2 linked regions of the Daphnia pulex genome follow. The protein of the gene in region 1 interacts with the protein of each later gene in a pairwise test. Links are inferred from orthologs where the notes say so. Each region holds a gene or a part of one and is shown on either strand. Other genes may lie near its edges. The genes, in order: developmentally-regulated GTP-binding protein 2-like and RWD domain-containing protein 1-like.

Region 1 (3,758 bases):
AAATGGTCTAGCGCCAATTATACTCCTACACAGAAAATAATACCGCAGCAATCAGCTCACTTTTATATTGCTTCGAAGAATAAGTCCAACCGAGTGCTCTTTGTCACGAAATGCAAACAAATTCAAATGGTGGCCTACGCGTATTTATTTAGGATAATGAAGTGTGAAAAATTGGGTATCGTCTTGTGCAATTCTGGCTAAAGGGATGACGTCATAAATATCGACGGTAGGACGTTTTTAAAATAAAAGCAACGTTGTCATTAAATATTTTTTTCAAGAGGATCCACTTGTTAACGTCGGATCTGAGGATGTTTTCCAGCTGTATTCGATACCCTTCCGTCAAACTGACAACAACAAGACCAGCCATGCCTAAAGAGTGTGTTCGTTGTCAAAGTAAGTTACATTTAATTGCTATTTAGTGCCTCGATTTTGAATTTCATATTTATTTGTGCACCATCTGTTTCTCGAATGTCTTGAATCAGTGAATGACGTGTTAGATTTTTACCTTACAAACTGTTCGTACTTTCTGTCTAGATGGGTGCACATGCGGGGACGACTGCAAGTATGCAGCCAACTGTATCAAATGTCCCACAGCTTCGTCACAAGGAGAGACTTGCAAATGCTCGACTCCAGGTAATGTTCGTATTGAAAGCTTTAATCGCCGACAAAAAAATTAATAGCTTTTTCACAATTGGTTGTATAGGGGGTTGCACATGCGGTACCAATTGCCAGTGTGGAGCGAGTTGCGTTTGCAAAGCTTCGTCCTGCTGTAAATGAATATCGTTGACGTGACGTCTGAAGAATTAATCCAACATATTCTGAAATCATTTCTGGAAACTTTCATTACTATTTCCCTTTATCGTCTAGATTATATATCCAAATTCACAAAACGATATTAAAATACATTTCGTCGATCTATAATTCTTCGTAAGAAGTATTTGCTTTTTTTGTTATTACCTGATTTCCATACCCCCCTTTCGGTTGGCCATTTTCAGGCTGTTACTACACAGTGGAATAGGCAAGTTATAAAAGCTTTATGTGGTAGTATCATGGGATTGCACTAAGTGATCGAGCGACAGTACTTTTGCAACAGGAAAACCTAGCAAATGATAACGCATCAATCGAGAGTATCAGGCGCTGGTCTAGTGGTCTGGTATCTGTATAATTACCGAGGATAATAATAGCAGTTGAGAGCTCAAATGTAAAAAAAGTTCAGTGGGTTGTTAACGCGTATTTATTCAAGGATATAACGAGACATTTTTTTTTAAAATTATCATTTGTATTGTTTGTATTTGATTTTTGTTTACCGCCATTGCGTATCTTCCGAATGGCAACGTTGCTTTTGACTGCCATGCTGAAGGCCTAAAGTTGGTCTGCTGTCACTTTGATAATTCCAGTTTTTGTGTTTTGTTTTCGACGACCATTTCCCCTGAACGAAAATGGGAATTCTGGAAAAGATTTCCGAGATTGAAAAGGAGATTGCCCGTACTCAGAAAAACAAAGGTTTGCGTCCATTATTGCTTCTTTCTTATGCGGATGTAATGTATAACAATACTTTTTGTGCACCGTGCAGCTACCGAATATCACTTGGGGCTGCTGAAAGCGAAACTTGCAAAGTACCGTTCGCAACTATTGGAACCCTCCAAGAAAGCTGGAGAGAAAGGAGAAGGCTTTGATGTACTTAAATCCGGAGATGCCAGGGTGGCATTAATTGGATTCCCATCTGTCGGCAAGGTGTGTTAAGGTTTAAAATTGTTTAAAATTTTATTTAACACAATCCCTTTCTTTCCTAGTCCACCCTTCTTTCAACTCTAACCAAGACCCAAAGTGAAGCTGCATCATATGAGTTTACAACACTGACATGTATTCCTGGAGTCATCGAGTATAAAGGTGCCAATATCCAATTATTGGATCTCCCTGGAATCATTGAAGGGGCTTCCCAAGGAAAAGGCAGAGGAAAACAGGCATGTCATGAGTTTCTGGAATGCAAAATTATAATCTTTGAATGAGTTTTCTTTATTGTGGTTTAGGTTATTGCTGTTGCAAGGACAGCTGACTTGGTTTTGATGATGCTTGATGCTACCAAGGGAGATGTACAGAAAACCTTGTTGCAGAAAGAGTTGGAGAGCGTAGGAATCAGGTTGAACACCAAAAAACCAAACATTTACTTCAAGGTAAACTTGACAAATACATAGAGCAAATGATTTTTTCTTTACTGAAAAATACCTTACATTGATAGCACAAAAAAGGTGGTGGTATTGCCTTCAATGCTGTTTGTCCATTAACCAAAGTGGATGAGAAACTGGTTCAGCTAATTCTTCATGAATACAAAATTTTCAATGCTGAGGTACTAGTTCACATTTCCTAAATCGGAAAACCTGACGTTGTAACGTGTTTGTCTTTTCGTAGGTTTTGTTCCGCGAAGACTGCTCTGCCGACGATCTGATTGATGTCATATCTGATAACCGGATCTATTTGTCGTGCCTTTACGTTTACAACAAGATCGATCAAATTTCGCTGGAAGAAGTTAATAGGATTGCACGACAGCCTCATTCTCTAGTGGTTTCCTGTAACATGAAGCTGAACCTCGATTACTTACTGGAGACTCTCTGGGAGTACTTGTCCTTTATTCGAGTTTACACCAAGAAACCTGGTCAGCCCCCCGATTTCAACGACTGCTTGATTTTGCGACGAGGCGTTTCTGTCGAACATGTTTGTCACTCGATCCATCGCACGTTGGCCCAAGTCTTGAAATACGCGCTTGTTTGGGTAAATTAATTCACTTTACCTTATGAATGATGCAAATTAATGATCTTGTTCCTTTTATAGGGTACGAGCGCTAAATTTAATCCGCAACGAGTTGGTTCACATCATATAGTGCATGATGAAGATGTACGTTCAACACCATTAGAAAGTTGTTGTATTTTTAGCTAATTGGTTTTCTTTTCTCCTTCTAGGTAATTCAAATTGTGAAGAAATGAAAATTCTTCTTGAGCTTTCTGAAGAGGTTCAAATGCCGAAGAACGAATAGGGGAAAAGCTTTTTGTTATGGTTGGCTTGAGAATTCAAATAAAACACATAAACACCTCTCACATATTAGATCCGACTAATCCGTCGAAATTACCGCCAGAAGGAGTTTTGTGTGAATTCTTGATGAGCTTTAAACATGACTTTGAAATTAGCTTAAGTAGTGCCGGCGAACGGGCAACGTTGGAATATTTCGATTAAAATCATTGGGGGAAAAAATATTGCAAGAAAATAATGCAAACAAATTATTTGCCTTTTGATGAAAAATGGACAGTCATTCCCAGGGTCACACAGAAAGAAAGGTTTTTTAGTCCAAACCCAAGAAATTTGGCCTTGCTGTCCTTGGGTAATTTGACATGGCCTTCGTCTGCTACGATTACTGTTAGGAAGGAGGTAGGACGTCAAAGTTGTAGCTGCACTTCGACTCCTTTCTTTGATCCTTTTGTGATCTAGCTAGGCCAGTTAAAACAATAAGGGAAATCGAAAATATTTTAACCCTCCTTCTCAGTTCCAAGTGCTCTTTTTTTAAGCAGAGAAGCCATTTGAATGTGATGCTTCTTTGTGTTAACTTCTAGACTAGCTCCAATGTTCCCATTGTCTCAGAACCCATCTAATTCCAGTTCCAGTCGTGGAAATGGCCGAAGTTCGTCATCTTCTCATAATAACCCCCATAACCGAAATTATGGGGCAGCCTTTTTCCAGATGATGACTATTGCCCTCCTATGCACATC
Region 2 (3,181 bases), on another chromosome or scaffold:
CCTCACTGCAAATGCTACTACTAATGGAAGCAAACGTCAGAAAGATAATAATACAAACTTCAAGTTTAGCAATGACCAATGTAAGATTTTTTAAATATTTGATTTGGTTCTTGTTGTCCAGTAATACAACTTTATTTTACCAACATGTACTTAATCATATCAAACCTTTTCAATCTATTTCAACAGATGCAGATCCATCACCGTCAAAGTACTGTGACAAGATGATGAATTCCATTTGGGGACTTTACAATCGCTATTCTGTTCACAATTTTAAAAGCAACACTTCGTCAGGTCAAGCTCAAACTGCAACATTGCAACAGCCGGCTACTAAAGAAAGCCAGGACTGGTTGCAAAATCCCATCAAGTGCCCACTGGAGGGAATGAAATTAAACTTTAATTCAAAGAATTTCCACCAGTAAATGCATTGATGGGCTGAACCAGAGAAAATGAAACATCATTTTTTCTGGTCTACACTATGTTACCTTTTCAATTAATCTCTTTCAATCCCAGTTCATAATAGGGTGGTAGAGTGGGTTTATAACATTCCCAGATGTGAAGCAATGGGCTCATAATTTGGTGTCAATCAATTGTGTTAAAATGTATCATCAGAGTTATCAATACAATTTATTCTACATCTTCATTGTTTATTTTAAATTCTTCGTGATTTATAAAGAAAAGAAAAACTTACACCAACTCCATGCAATATTTGACTAGGTACTATTAGTTGCATTTTCAGTTTCCTTGTGACGATGTTTCTTGGGAATTCCTGTTAGTCTGAATTCTCTCCTTTCTTTAAGGTAAATTTCCTTGCATTCTTCTTTGAAGACTTCATCTTTATACCATCTCGTCTGACAGTCTTGCATGGCTGCATTTTGTTTCCGGCATGAATATGCCATCAGCACATTGCTGGATGAACAACATTTTGTAAATTCTTCAACTTCAGGCACACATTTTTCCATTTTGGCTCTGTCTCTCATAATCTTTGGAATAAGAACTTCTTTTTCGACAATCCTCAAAGTCCTGTCATCTGGATCGCCTGTAGGTATTACCAAGTGAATATACATTAACGGAGCCGGTTAAACATGGAATGATATAATTATATAATACCGAGCCCATGAGGGCCTTTTGCGTTGTGCGTTTCCTCCTGTTTCGACATAATCGCATTTAATTCAAAGTCGATGACCTATATGTCAATGATATCACAACCCGATAACACCGTTTAGTGGAAGACTGGAAGAGAAGTTAACTTCGAAAACATAACATAAGAGAAATAAAAAAAGAAGTCAAGGCCTGCTGGCTTCACCACCAATTATGAGTTGTGTATGTGTAGTACCTTGGTTCTAGATGTAGATGGAGCCATGTTACTTGTTAGTCACAATCTTGTTTCAGCAAACTTCCTAAATAATCGATTTATTTATTTTTTTTAAATTTTTAATGAGAAAAACTGATGAAAAACTCGATGACTTTTAACCCAGACATGACGATTTTTTTTCATTTCGTAAAGAAGTTTTCTTTTCTTGCTGTCTCTTCAATATCTCATAGATGTCGATAGTTACTGGGCAAGCCGAATATTGGAAATGTGTCGTCTGCTCTCTCACATGTTGACATGTGAGAATTTAACAGTACGTCATTAACTGTTTTCTCCTATTTAATAATGTCACAAAATTCACAATACAAAGAGGAACAATTGGGCGAGATATTCTCTCTCGAATCAATTTATCCCGATGAACTGGAAAGTAAGTACTGTAATTTAAATACAAGAAAGCATTGTGCCAACAAATTAATTTCTCTACTTTTTCAGTTCTGGAAGAGGAGCCATTCCATCAATTTAAACTGCAAGTGAAATCCGAAGGACACGATGAAGAAGAAGGGATCGGTTATGCATGTGACCTTAAATTTACCTACACACCAACTTACCCAGAAGAAATTCCAATGATTGAAATCATGGATGATGTAGGTTTGGATGATGAGCAGTTGGAAAGACTGAAAGACCGTCTTGAAAAAGAAGCTGAAGATAATCTAGGAATGGTGATGTAAGAATTTAACAGTTAAAGTTTTCCATCAAGTTATCACTTATTTTATTAATGATTTGTAAAATCTAGGATATTCTCTTTAGTCTCCACTGCCAATGAGTGGCTTAATAATGAATGGGATGCTGAGCTTAGGCGTCGGGATGAGGAAGCAGAACGTAAAATACTTGAAGCTGAAGAAGCAGAGAATAAAAAGTGTCATGGTACTGCTGTTACTGTGGAGAATTTTCTACGGTGGAAGGCTGAGTTTGATGCTGAGATTGCTGCACTGAAGAAACCAGAGAAGGAAGACAAGGATAAGAAGCTCTCTGGTAGAGAGTTGTTCATGGTTGACAAATCACTGATTGAATCTGATTTGAAATTCTTGGAAGAGGGTGGAGAAGTTGTCAATGTTGATGAATCCTTGTTCCAGGATTTGGAAGATTTAGGTTTAGATGATGAACTTGTGTCAGATGGAAGTGATTAAAATAAAATACTGGCTATTATTTATCTTTATTTGTCTGTTCTGTTCTACATTCTTAAACCAAATTTCAACTTAGACAACATAAGGTCAAAGACAAAGCGAGTATTTACTTGGGACGCGTAAATACGTTTGGACCGAATTTTAACGACCCTGAAATTTCACCTAGGCAGTCATTTAGAGAAAGTAGACCAACACAGAAATCACATAAGACCTCACCTTAACCAATCTTCACGTTGATACTCGAATCATGAAAAAAATGTGACTTACTACGTAATTAAATGTAAGTGATCGATTAAACAAAAGGCAATGTCAGTCCTTCACAATAAGACTACGAACAAAGCATTATAATAGCATGCTTGATTCATTTAATCAACATTCAATAAATAACCAGCAATGTAATTTCAAAGAAAAACAGAACAAAATTTTAATTGGGCAATTCTGTGTATTGTACTGATCGACACAAAACCACCTCTGGAGGGTCGATGGTACTGACCGTACCAGAATCTGTTGTTAACGGTTAGATTTGGCAACTCGCTCCAACTCGTCCTTTTTCTTGATAGCGTAGGAATTGCTTGATCCCTATAGTTGGATAATACGTTAAACAATGCAAGAAATACGGCATTTTTCTGTAACTGACCTTGGCCGCGTTGATAAGCTCATCAGCGAGACACTCGGCGATCGTCTTGAT

Evidence for each region.
Region 2: the proteins of developmentally-regulated GTP-binding protein 2-like (region 1) and RWD domain-containing protein 1-like interact in binary tests that used the Homo sapiens proteins (3 or more experiments, as listed by UniProt). The link is inferred for Daphnia pulex from reciprocal best matches to the Homo sapiens genes DRG2 and RWDD1.

What each region holds. Positions count from the first base shown.
Region 1 is NC_060026.1:4,078,149-4,081,906, forward strand, and holds developmentally-regulated GTP-binding protein 2-like, read left to right. Parts: upstream 1-1,337; 5' UTR 1,338-1,439; coding exon 1,440-1,503; intron 1,504-1,573; coding exon 1,574-1,734; intron 1,735-1,793; coding exon 1,794-1,964; intron 1,965-2,030; coding exon 2,031-2,174; intron 2,175-2,239; coding exon 2,240-2,347; intron 2,348-2,409; coding exon 2,410-2,769; intron 2,770-2,829; coding exon 2,830-2,892; intron 2,893-2,957; coding exon 2,958-2,981; 3' UTR 2,982-3,092; downstream 3,093-3,758. Other genes in the region: copper-metallothionein-like, read left to right, coding at 309-393, 535-633, 704-777. UniProt on the Homo sapiens protein: Catalyzes the conversion of GTP to GDP through hydrolysis of the gamma-phosphate bond in GTP. When hydroxylated at C-3 of 'Lys-21' by JMJD7, may bind to RNA and play a role in translation.
Region 2 is NC_060022.1:4,905,769-4,908,949, reverse strand, and holds RWD domain-containing protein 1-like, read left to right. Parts: upstream 1-1,576; 5' UTR 1,577-1,654; coding exon 1,655-1,736; intron 1,737-1,801; coding exon 1,802-2,033; intron 2,034-2,102; coding exon 2,103-2,496; 3' UTR 2,497-2,515; downstream 2,516-3,181. Other genes in the region: uncharacterized protein LOC124196018, read left to right, coding at 1-80, 187-419; COX assembly mitochondrial protein homolog, read right to left, coding at 711-1,036, 1,108-1,156; 40S ribosomal protein S5, read right to left, coding at 3,004-3,072, 3,131-3,181. UniProt on the Homo sapiens protein: Protects DRG2 from proteolytic degradation.